3 linked regions of the Callithrix jacchus genome follow. The protein of the gene in region 1 binds, or shares a complex with, the protein of each later gene. Links are inferred from orthologs where the notes say so. Each region holds a gene or a part of one and is shown in the gene's direction. Other genes may lie near its edges.

The links.
Region 2: CELF1 (region 1) and CALR3 share a complex: the UniProt entries of both Homo sapiens proteins name them as parts of the EIF2 complex. The link is inferred for Callithrix jacchus from reciprocal best matches to the Homo sapiens genes CELF1 and CALR3.
Region 3: CELF1 (region 1) and CALR share a complex: the UniProt entries of both Homo sapiens proteins name them as parts of the EIF2 complex. The link is inferred for Callithrix jacchus from reciprocal best matches to the Homo sapiens genes CELF1 and CALR.

The regions. Positions count from the first base shown.
Region 1 is NC_133511.1:112,605,707-112,609,827, reverse strand, and holds the start of CELF1 (CUGBP Elav-like family member 1), read left to right. Parts: upstream 1-1,321; 5' UTR 1,322-1,457; intron 1,458-4,121. UniProt on the Homo sapiens protein: RNA-binding protein implicated in the regulation of several post-transcriptional events. Involved in pre-mRNA alternative splicing, mRNA translation and stability.
Region 2 is NC_133523.1:15,116,076-15,120,147, reverse strand, and holds the start of CALR3 (calreticulin-3), read left to right. Parts: upstream 1-1,272; 5' UTR 1,273-1,327; coding exon 1,328-1,418; intron 1,419-1,604; coding exon 1,605-1,706; intron 1,707-4,072. UniProt on the Homo sapiens protein: During spermatogenesis, may act as a lectin-independent chaperone for specific client proteins such as ADAM3. Required for sperm fertility. CALR3 capacity for calcium-binding may be absent or much lower than that of CALR.
Region 3 is NC_133523.1:11,760,859-11,764,918, forward strand, and holds the start of CALR (calreticulin), read left to right. Parts: upstream 1-1,260; 5' UTR 1,261-1,331; coding exon 1,332-1,422; intron 1,423-1,782; coding exon 1,783-1,884; intron 1,885-2,070; coding exon 2,071-2,274; intron 2,275-2,732; coding exon 2,733-2,827; intron 2,828-2,925; coding exon 2,926-3,135; intron 3,136-3,220; coding exon 3,221-3,334; intron 3,335-3,430; coding exon 3,431-3,574; intron 3,575-4,060. UniProt on the Homo sapiens protein: Calcium-binding chaperone that promotes folding, oligomeric assembly and quality control in the endoplasmic reticulum (ER) via the calreticulin/calnexin cycle.

The DNA.
Region 1 (4,121 bases):
AAAACTCTTGAGGCTTCCACTTGGAAGCCCATTTGTTGTTTGTGGTAAGGTAGGGTATAATCAGTATTTGTGGGTATAAAAACTATATTCTCTGGGAAGCCAGATGATGTTACAGAGAAACCATCCCATGAGTTATTTGCATGTCGATGGGGCCAGAAGCTTCCAGAACAAAGTTTTTTTTCTTAATCTACATTTAACTACCTCACAAGGTCTGGAACCTACAGAATAAATGTTTGCTTAAACAATAACAAAATGTACTGTTTGCGTTCTATCTAGACCCAGGGATTCCTGAGTAACTCCGAACAAGTGAGTTGTTAAAAAAAAATGTTTCTGGTCGGGCGCGGTGGCTCAAGCCTGTAATCCCAGCACTTTGGGAGGCCGAGGCTGGTGGATCACAACGTCAAGAGAACGAGACCATCCTGGTCAACATGGTGAAACCCCGTCTGTACTAAAAATACAAAAAATTAGCTGGGCATGGTGGTGCATGCCTGTAATCCCAGCTGCTCAGGAGGCTGAGGCAGGAGAATTGCCTGAACCCAGGAGGCGGAGGTTGCAGTGAGCCGAGATCGCGACATTGCACTCCAGCCTGGGTAACAAGGGCGAAACTCCGTCTCAAAAAAAAAAAAAAAAAAAAAATTTTTTTTTTTTTCCTGGGAAAAGCAGGTTATGGCTGAGCAATCATTCTCTTAATAGAATCCTTGTGAACTTCCTGGTGTCGCAGTGATCGTTGCCAGATTGTGCCTTCACACTGATTATCTTGCTAAAAGGCTCTCCCTGAACTTGCAACACACATATCCACATCCCAGCAAAGAAGGAAGGCCTGGATGCTGTTGCTTGTCTGCTGGGCAAAAAGGGGCGTGCCATGTGTCCGGCGCTGGCCGAGCACCATTCACTCCTTCACTCATCCATTTATTCAACAAATATCTTATTATGCTCATATTCAGTGCCCAGTAGGGGTGCCTCCTTGCCGACCAGGGTCATCTAGAGCTCCTGTGAGTGCGGTGGGCGGAGTCGAGAACTTCGGAATCCCAGGCCCTTCTCTTCCCTCCAGTAGGGCTAGAAGACAAAGAGATGCGCCCCCGCAGCTCCCACCGCTGAGGGCTCCGCCCGCGGCCCCAGGGGCTTAGGCGCGGCTGCTCCTCCACTCCCCAGCCCGAGGGGGCGCTGCAGCGTCCGGCGCTCGGCCCGCCCCTACGCCGCGTTCCGCTCGCATCTACGCTGCGGGCGGCGCCGCGGTGATACGTTCCCCCTAGCCGAGCTCCCCCTCCTCTTCGGCCCTCCCCGCCGGTGGTAGGTGCCGGAAGTGCCGCCATTTTGGGGTGTTCTGCTCTGGCGGCAGCGACGGCAGCGGCGGCGGGACGCGGAGGCTCCCCGGGGACTCAGCCTCAGCAGCGAGGCGGCGGCTGCGGAGGCTCAGGCAGCAGCTGAGGTAGCGGCGGGCTCAGGTGCAGCCGCTGGTGAGTGCTGCGGCCGCAGGATAACGGGCCGCGGGAAGGAGGGAGGGAGGGAAAGAAGGCAAGAGGGAGGCGCCACGGGGCGGGTCCGGTTCTGGAGGCCGCGGGTCACAGCGCTCGCCTGGCGCGGCCGCTCCTTGTTCCCTGCGCCCCGGGGCAGGGCTGCGATCTCCTCCCGCATGTCGGGGTCCCGGGGTCCCCGGGTCCTGTCGCGCTTGCCTGGCGCGTGCCTCAGCGCTCAGGGAGACCCGCCCTCCTCGTGGCCTGGCTTCCTTCCCCGCGCCCTTTACCTTCACCCTCTGAGCTCAGAGGCCTTGTGTCTTGCCCAGGGCCACCGTCTTTTCCCTCTTCTTTTTGGCTGCGGTGCTGGACCCAGGCTACCTGCCCGGGATACCTCATCTCTGCCCCTGTCGCCTCACGTGTTCTTGGTGTCCACCCTGGGGGTGCCGAAGGGCCCCTGCCTGTAGAAGGCAGCGCTTTTCCGGAGCTTCGAGAGCCCCTCGTTACTCGCTCCAGATCCGCTAAGGCCTTGGCTCGCCCTCCCCCCGCATCAGGTGCTCACCCAGTCGTGGCCTAGTTGTTGGGCAGGAATCTCGCACCGGGAAGCGCGGGGAGCACATTAAGCGCTTTCTTCGCTAGGGACCAGGCTTTGAATTTAAAGCCGGTGGTGTAGGCTTTGAATTTAAAGCCAGTGGTGTCTTGGTTGTGGTCCTCCGGGCAGGATGTTGTTTTAATTCTCCGAGACCATTGCACATGCTCCAAGGAGCTTCTTACTGGTTCAGGCTCATACCCATAGTTGAGGGGAATGTGGTGAGATTTTGGTCGGAATTTGTTTCCACAAAATAGAATCTTTCTCGCCAGGAGAGTTAATGCTGTAGGTTTATTACCTTCGAGCAAAAAGGCTGTATAACAGTTTTAAAGAGCATGAAATACTTTATAATGTGTACATTGTAAGAGGTTACAAATACCCAATGTATCTTTTACAGGAACTTCACCTTTTTTTTTTTTTTCTTTTGAGGCGGAGTTTCGCTCTTGTTGCCCAGGCTGGAGTGCAATGGCTCCATTTCGGCTCACCGCAGCCTCCGCCTCCTGGGTTCAAGCGATTCTCCTGCCTCAGCCTCCCGAGTAGCTGGAACATTTTTGTATTTTTGGTAGAAACAGGGGTTTCTCCATGTTGGTCAGGCTGGTCTCAAACTCCTGACCTCAGGTGATCCGCCCGTCTCTACCTTCCGAAGTACTGGCGTCCGGCTGGGACTTCATCTTTTAAAGGTCTTTTCACTGTCTTTGATTCTCCGTGAATTGGGAAGGCTTTAATTGGATGCTTTCCCCTTTCCCACAAGTGTAGCTTTTCTCCGAGTGCTATGGAAGTTTCAGCTTCCCCATTCATCCTTGGTGAGAATGAAGGCGTCTCCATTTAGAAATCAACCTTTCTGTTTTAGCATTAATGAGTCCACTCAGAAAATTACAGAGTTACAATAGCATGCACAAACTGTTGCTACGGTGATTTTCTTCTTTCGTCTAGCTTTACTTACCTAGTATGTGGTTTCTGATCATGAGTTAGCCAAGATTGAAGCAGCGCTGTTGGTAAAGCAAAGCTGGAGCTTTCAGCTGTTGCTTTAACCAGGAAGATCATGGTTCCCCTAGCGGTTCTTTCCTCATGACAATCCACCACCTGTTTCCATTAAGAATGGCCTTTGGCCCAGAGCATAGGCCTCAACTTCTCTTCAACCATTCATTCTGTCCCCTTTAAAGAAAACGCAGGGTTTTCTTTTGATTGGAATCTGTTTCCACAAAATGGAATGTGTTCTAGATTTAAGATGCAGAAGCAAGAGAGGCTGTTAGAGTTGGAATATCTTTTCTTGAACCCCTTCACTTTTTAAGTGACTTACTTGCCCAAGGTTATTATTTTTTTAAACTATATCATGAGTAATATTGCAGTCTTTGAGTTGTAATGAAATGGGAAAGGATCCTGACTCGAAGTTAGAACTAGGCCTGAATCGTAATTCTTGCTTTGTCATTTACTAGTTATACAACTTTGGCAAGTCACTCAACTGTTCTCCTCAGTTTATTCTCACCTGCAGGATGAAAGAAACAGCATCTGTCTCACATGGTATCAGTTCAGCTTCAGTAACATGGTGAAATACCCGTGATGTAATAGGCAGTGAAGTTTTTAGCCAAAATGATTTATTTTTCTAAAGATTTCCATTATTTTTTTTTACTACAGAAGCTACAGATTCGTTATAAAAAATACAGATAAGTCAGAAAAGGAAGAAACTTACCCATAGTGCCACCACTCAGAGATGATTTTCAATGTTAGATCTTTATCTTGTCCATCCTTTTCATATGCTGTAGAATACTTGGCTTTTTGTGTCTGGCTAATTTTGCTTACCATGTTGTTTTCAAGGTCGATGCATCACGTTATAGTGTGTATCAGGACTAATTTCCTTTTTTGTTTTTGAGATGGAGTCTTGCTCTTGTGGCTCAGGCTGGAGTGCAGTGGCATGATCTCAGCTCATTGCAACCTCTGCCCTCCCAGGTAGCTGGGAATACAGGCATGAGCCACCTCTTCTGGTCAATATGGCGAAACCCCATCTCTACTAAAAATACAAAAATTAGCCTATAGTCCTAGTTAATCGGGAGGCTGAGGCAGGAGAATTGCTTGAACCT
Region 2 (4,072 bases), on another chromosome or scaffold:
AGACCAGCCTGGCAAACATGGTGAAACACCATCTCTACTAAAAATACAAAGATTAGTTGAGCATGGTGGTGTGCGCCTGTAATCCCAGCTATTCGGGAGGCTGAGGCAGGAGAATCCTTGAAACTGGGAGACGAAGGTTGCAGTGAGCTGAGATCGTGCCATTGCACTCTAGCCTGGGCGACAGAGTGAGACCTCAAACAAACAAAAAAAAGGAAGGCAGATGAGCGGTTCCCTGGAACTGTGGGTGTGAGTGAGGACAGATTGCAAAGGAACGAAGCAATCTCCTTGGGTAATAGAAAGTTTAGTTTTGTTTTTTGTTTTGTTTTGTTTTGAGTAGGGGTCTTGCTCTGCCACCCAGGCTGGAGGGCAGTGGCCTGATCACAGCTCACAGCAGCCTCGACCTCCTAGACACAGGCAATCTTCCCTCCCGACTCCACATGCCGAGTAGCTGGGACTACAGGCATGTACCACTGCACCTGGCTAATTATTTATTTTTATCTTTTTTAGAGATGGGGTCTCGCCATGTTGCCTAGGCTACTCTGAATCTCCTGGCCTCAAGTGACTGTTCCGCCTCTGCCTCTCAAAGTGCTGGGATTCCAGGCAGGAGCCACCGCGCCCAGCCTGCTGCAGAGTTCTAAAGCTGGATGAGCTGAATGGTGGCGACGGCTTCACAACTTTGAAGACTTACTAAAAATAACCGAGTCGTCAGCTTAAAAGTGGTAAACACTATGGTATGCAAACTGTAGCTCAATAAAGTTGTTAAAAATCAACAAACCAAAATTTGAAAACCCTGGCGCCCCTCAGACCATCCTGCTCTTCTCCCCTGCTATGAAGCGACCCGCACTGAACTCAACAGACCTCAGACAGGGAAACTGAGGCGCGGGACCACCCTGCAGCCTCCCGACCAGCTCACCTCCAGAGCAAGCCCGACTTCCCCGTATCTCCTCTCGCGAGCCCATGCGCTCAGCCGCGTCACCTCCCCACCAGCCCTGCCGACCTCCTCCCAGTGTGTCCATTCGCAGAGACTGCCACCACATTCAGGCCTGAGAGAGCAGTTGCCCTGAGCAACAGAGCCAGAAGGGACTACAACTCCCGGGAAGCACAGCGTCCCGGGGACCAATGGCACCCCGAATCACAATCGCGGGGCATCATGGGAGTGGTAGTTCCGGGACGGGCCCGACGTGCCCCGCGCCGCAGCGACCTATGAGACCTCAGGTCATAATCACGAGACGTGACAGGAGTGGTAGTTTCGGGGCGCGCCTGAAGAGCCGCAGAGACCGCCGGAAGCGAAGGGGCGGTGGCGCCAGGAAGCGTAGTGCACGCCCCCATGGCCGGGGCTCCGGTCCCACTCTGGGCCATCTGCTTGCTGCGGGTGGCGCTGGCTACCGTTTATTTCCAAGAGGAATTTCTAGACGGAGGTGAAGGGGTGACGCCCGTGGTGGCAAGGGTGTAAGCTCCCCTATCTCCTCCCCTCTAGGGCTGGCCAGAGTCGCCGCGGGGTCGATGGCAGCGAACCCTCAATTATTCGAGGGTCCCCCTCACCTTTCCCTCGACGCAAATTAACTGTTATCAGCTCTAACCGGTGTTATTTCCCCTCCCCACAGAGCACTGGAGAAACCGATGGGTGCAGTCCACCAATGACTCCCGTTTTGGGCATTTTAGAGTCTCGTCGGGGAACTTTTATGGTCATAAAGAGAAAGATAAAGGTTAGTGTAGAATCAGGACCAAATCGAGCCTAATGTTACATTTTCCATAGCAACCTTTCAAGGTAGTTACGGCACAGCCAAAAGCTTTTATTCCCATTTTACACATGAAGACCTTAAGGCATAGACTTTAAGGCAAGGCTTCCTTATCTTTTGTTGTTGTTTTCTCTCTCCTTTCTTTTCTTTTCTTTTCCTTCTTTCTTTCTTTCTTTTCATTTCTTTTCCTTTCTTTCTTTCTCTTTCTTTTTCTTTTTTTTTTTTTTGAGACAGAGTCTTGTTCTGTTGCCCAGGCTGGAGTGCAGTGGCATGATCTTGGCTCACTGCAACCTGCGCCTCCCAGGTTTGAGCAATTCTCCTGTCTCAGCCTCCTGAGTAGCTGGGCCTACAGGCGAACGCCAGCACACCCAGCTAATTTTTGTATTTTTAGTACAGAAGGGGTTTCACCATGTTGGCCAGGCTAATCTCGAACTCCTGATCTTGTGATCCACCTGCCTTAGCCTCTCAAAGAGCTGGGATTACAGGTGTGAGTCACCACACCTGGCCTCCTCTCTCTTTATTGCCGAAGATTGCTCCTTTTTTTTTTTTTTTTAAAGCAGGAGTCCGTCTCTGTTTCCCAGGCTGGAGTGCAGTGGTACGATTTTGGCTCACTCAAACCACCGGCAGGATTCAAGCAATTCTCCTGTTTCAGGCTCCCTAGGAGCTGGGATTACAGGCATGCACCACCATGCCTGTTTCAGGCTAATTTTTTTAGAGACAGGGTTTCATCATGTTACCCAGGCTGCTCTCAAACTCCTGGCCTCAAGTGATCCTCCCCTTAGCCTCCCAAAGTGCTGGGATTATAAACGTGAGCCAAGGTGCTTGGCCTATTATTATTATTACTATTACTATTATTTTATTGGTATTAGGTCCCCTGAAGTCCAAGGAGACATATTCAGCTTATTTGGCATAATAAAATCATACAAGAGGCCGGGCACGGTGGCTCACGCCTGTAATCCCAGCACTTTGGGAGGCCGAGGCAGGTGGATCATGAGGTCAACAGATCAAGACCATCCTGGTCAACAAGGTGAAACCCCGTCTCTACTAAAAATACAAAAATTAGCTGGGCATGGTGGTGCACACCTGTAGTCCCAGCTACTCGGGAGGCTGAGGCAGGAGAATTGCTTGAACCCAGAAGGCGGAGGTTGCGGTGAGCCAAGATCGTGCCATTGCACTCCAGACTGGGTAACGAAAGAAACTCCGTCTCAAAAAAATAAATAAATAAAATCATACAAGAAGCACTGTCACATATTCAATGGTGTTTAACCTTTGGATTATATTTATATAAATGTGTTGGCCAGACATGGTGGCTCACGCCTGTAATTCCAGCACTTTGGGAGGCTGAGGTGAGTGGATCACAAGGTCAGGAAATGGAGAACATTCTGGCCAATGTGGTGAAACCCTGTCTCTACTAAAATAGAAAAAATTAGCAAGGCATGGTGGCACACACCTATAGTCCCAGCTACTCGGGAGGCTGAGGCAGGAGAATTGCTTGAACCCAGGAGGTGGAGGTTGCAGTGAGCCCAGATTGCACCACTGCACTCCAGCCTGGTGACAGGCCAAGACTCCATCTTAAAAAAAAAAAATGTGTTATGAGTATCCATTACCAAAATTGCCCCTCTTAAAAGATGCTAGTCAAGTGCACATGGGGATCAAGGGCTGTTCCCCTCAGAGGGAAAAGTGGGCTCCTCCTCTCATTTTAATGTTTGCATTAAAAAGAAAAATATGGGGCCGGGTGCGGTGGCTCACGCCTGTAATCCCAGCACTTTGGGAGGCCAAGGCGGGTGGATCACGAGGTCAAGAGATCGAGACCATCCTGGTCAACATGGTGAAACCCCGTCTCTACTAAAAATACAAAAATTAGCTGGGCATGGTGGTGCGCGCCTGTAATCCCAGCTACTCAGGAGGCTGAGGCAGGAGAATTGCTTGAACCCAGGAGGCAGAGGTTGCGATGAGCTGAGATTGTGCCATTGCACTGCAGCCTGGGTAACAAGAGCGAAACTCCGTCTCACAAAAAAAAAAAAAGAAAAAGAAAAATATGGGGCCGGGTGTGGTGGCTCACACCTATAATCTCAGCAGTTTGGGAGGCCGAGGCGGGTGGATCATGAGGTCAAGAGATTGAGACCATCCTGATCAATGAGGTGAAACCCCTTCTCTACTAAAAATACAAAAATTAGCTGGGCGTGGTGGTGCACACCTGTAGTCCCAGCTACGCAGGAGGCTGAGGCAGGAGAATTGCTTGAACCCAGAAGGCGGAGGTTGCGGTAAGCTGAGATCGCGCCATTGCACTCCAGTCTGGGTAACAACAGCAAAACTCCGTCTCAAAAAAAAAA
Region 3 (4,060 bases), on another chromosome or scaffold:
TCCCTTTTCTGACTATCTTTAGCTAGGAAGCAACCCTCCCCGCCCTCTTTCCTGGATCCCCTTCATTCCCTCCTTCCACAGTCCACTCCCGGGTTCCCAGGTCCAGGGCTTATTTGCCTAGACTTTGGAAAACCCCCAGCTCTCCTTCCTCCTTTCTGCAGCGTGGGGGCAGGGTGCTGGTGTCAGTCACGTCTCTCTAGCTTCAGAAGAAGGCACTAGACTCAGTCGAGGTCGAGGTGGGGGGGGGGGTCCTGCCCATCTCCCTAGCACCTTATCGTCCCTACCGTCTGTCTTTTTTCCCTCCCCAAACGGAACCCCCGGCCCTCTCGCCTATAGACGTTTAATTGCAAAAGCCAGGCCGTTTGTGGGAGACCACAAGACATCGACCCCCTTCATTTACCGGTTGAGAAGAGAGTAAAGGGGCTGCTGCAACCTGGGTAATAACCCTGTCCCCACCCCAGGAGTCACATCCTTAAGCCTTCCTTCCCTCTTGTCCCAGGACAGCTTTCAAAACGTTAAAAGCCTTTCGGCTGGGTAGCATCTGACCAGGGAGGGTCGTCCCCTCTGGCTGCTCAGGGGCGTCTGTCACTTCAGAAAGGTTAAGTGACTTGCCCCAGGTCGCACAGCAGCAGTCCGATAGGCTGCCAGGGCACTAGGGGCAGAAGGAGGAGAGAGTTGGCATTTTTCCCATTGGCCCGCGTGGCTGTAGCACTGGGGTGCAGCGAAGCCCCAGGGCCACAACCCCTGAGCTCTGTTCAATCCCGGGCGGAGATGGGGGAGCGGCTGTAGGGTACTGGTTCCCGAATGGCTAGAAAAGCCTTGCCCAGCCCCTCCAGGTAGAGGGAATGAGAGGGAGAGAAGTTGGGACATGGTTCCGGTCCCGCGTGGAAACACCTGCGCTCGCGCCAGTGCTTTAAACGCCCAGATGAGGAAAGACGCACGCGGGCGAGGGCGGGGTTGGGTTTAGATCTGGTCACATGACCTGGCCTGAGGGGCTCGAGGCCCCCGCCCCACCAGAGGGCGTCCCCCACAACGCGTGGTCGACTCTCATTGGTCAGCGGTGAGGCCAATAGAAATCGGCCATCTGGGAACCCAGCGTTCCGAGGCGCAGCCTAACATGGTGAACCGATAAAGATCCAATGGAAAAAGACAATCGTGAGCGCAGACCAATGATAAAGTGTCAAGGGCGGGCCCAAGGGCTTGGTCAGGTTGGTTTGAGAGGCGGATGGGTATAAAGGTGCAAGGCGGGCGGCGGCGGCCGTCCGTACTGCAGAGCCGCTGCCCCAAAGTCGTTTTAAAGGGCCAGCGCGCCGCCGCCCCCTCGGCCCGCCATGCTGCTATCCGTGCCGCTGCTGCTCGGCCTCCTCGGCCTGGCTGCCGCCGAGCCCGCCATCTATTTCAAGGAGCAGTTTCTGGACGGAGGTAACGCCTGATTTCGCCTCGAGGCTGCCCCGCCGACGCGGCTGGCCCCCATCCCGGATCTGCGTTGTTGCCCGTAATTACTGCTTTGGGGACCAACATGGTGGCCTCCAGGGCCTAGAGCCGAGGGCTATTCCTCTTTTGCGTCCCTGGGGAGCGCAGAGGCGCAGCGGCCTCCCGCAGCGGGAGTTAGGGTTCGCCTGAGGATCTCTTAAGGCACCTGAGGTGTCAAACTAGAGGTTGGGGTGGGGAGAGTCGGGGATCTCCTTCCCTGTCCCCAGCAGTTTTTGATTCTCGGCAGATGTTTGGTGGTGGGGAATCGGCACAACCGCGTTGACCTCCCCCCTCTAACCTCCCACTTAGATGGGTGGACTTCCCGCTGGATCGAATCCAAACACAAGTCAGATTTTGGCAAATTTGCCCTCAGTTCCGGCAAGTTCTACGGTGACCAGGAGAAAGATAAAGGTAAGAGCCTAGGAGTGGGTGCTCTGATCCGGGAGGACTTCCTGGCAGAAGTCCTTGTCTGCACACAGCTGGGACAGTCCCCTAGGAGGAGAGCAGGTGGAGGAAAGGGGAGTCGTTTGTATTCTCTAGGTCTTGGGTCCTCGGGGGTCAGGGCCCAACGGTGACCTCACTGCTATTCCGTTTCAGGTTTGCAGACAAGCCAGGATGCACGCTTTTATGCTCTATCGGCCAGTTTTGAGCCCTTTAGCAACAAAGGGCAGACACTAGTGGTGCAGTTCACGGTGAAACATGAGCAGAACATCGACTGTGGGGGCGGCTATGTGAAGCTGTTTCCTAGTAGTTTGGACCAGACGGACATGCACGGAGACTCAGAATACAACATCATGTTCGGTGAGGGGCTGGTTCCTGGTGCTGATCTCTGTCCCATTAGTTGGAGGGAGACTCAGACCCCATTGAGTTCCTTACATCCCAGAAAAGTGATTTTTGAGAGGATGGAAAGCATTTACTAATCATGATTTTCTTTGGAAGGAGAGCTAAAAGAATAGGTCACAGTTAGCAACAATTTATTGCCTTATCCCAGATCTAGGCTGTTAATTTAATTTGTATGATTGTATATAGTTACTTCCCAATCTTACAAATGAGGATGTTGAGTTCTAGAACGCTCATTTTTTTTCTTTAAACTTGAGGCTCCAGCCACAGTTCATTCAGGACAGCATCAAGGTCTGAGTCCCTCTTTTTAGCCTTGACAGACCAAGTTTAAGAACCAGGTTTTCCTTTTGTAAAGAGGGGAGAGGGCCTTGAAATGGTGGGTAGTCTCTGACTCTTAACTGGATGTGTTTCCCACCTAGGTCCTGACATCTGTGGCCCTGGCACCAAGAAGGTTCATGTCATCTTCAACTACAAGGGCAAGAACGTGCTGATCAACAAGGACATCCGTTGCAAGGTGTGCCTGGGGGTGGTGGTGGCAAATGATGGCTGTCATGGGAAGTTCAGAGGTCGGTCTGATTGCGGGGGGCCCCACTCACCTCCTTCCTTCTTCAGGATGATGAGTTTACACACCTGTACACACTGATTGTGCGACCGGACAATACCTACGAGGTGAAGATCGACAACAGCCAGGTGGAGTCGGGGTCCTTGGAGGACGATTGGGACTTTCTGCCACCCAAGAAGATAAAGGATCCTGCTGCTTCAAAACCGGAAGACTGGGATGAGCGGGCCAAGATCGATGATCCCACAGACTCCAAGCCTGAGGTAGGTGTTTGGGGAGGGGCTCTGCTTTCCACACTGGAGCGTGTGTAGGACAGCTGGGCCAACTCTGACCTCTTCTACACCCCAGGACTGGGACAAGCCTGAGCATATTCCTGACCCTGATGCCAAGAAGCCTGAGGACTGGGATGAAGAGATGGATGGAGAGTGGGAACCCCCAGTGATTCAGAACCCTGAGTACAAGGTGAGTTTGGGGTTCTGAGCAGGGCTGGAGCTCACAGTGGGGAGTCCACCAACCTCACTCACCCTCTGGTTCTTTTCTCCCTTATGCCTTCTGCAGGGTGAGTGGAAGCCCCGACAGATCGACAACCCAGATTACAAGGGCACTTGGATCCACCCAGAAATTGACAATCCCGAGTATTCCCCTGATCCCAATATCTATGCCTATGATAACTTTGGTGTGCTGGGCCTGGACCTCTGGCAGGTGAGACTTGGAGGGAAAAGGAGGATCCCTGGGGTACCTCGAGAGCTTACCATCACCCAGGAGGAAAGGGACAGGGTAGGATCACACCCCAGGAAGGTCTGACTCAAGATGGTACTTCTCTAAACAGTACTTCCTGGTCTGTCCTTATGGAGTCCTCACAGCAGCCCCTTTGAGGTTGTACTTTTTGTGCACCAAGTACTTCCCCTAGTACTTTTATGCAAATCAACTTCTTTAAATACCCCTAAAAAGCTAGAAGGTGGTCAGGTAACACAGAAAGTTTGGGGCTGGGCGCAGTGGCTCACCCTTGTAATCACAGTACTTTAGGAGGCTGAGGAAGGAGGATTGCTTAAGGCTAGGAGTTTGACAACTCAACCTTGCTTGGCAACATAGTGAGGCAACCTCATCTCTACACAAATTTTAAAATTAGCCAGATGTGATGCATACCTGTTATCCCAACTATCTAGGAAGAAAGAGGATCACTTGAGC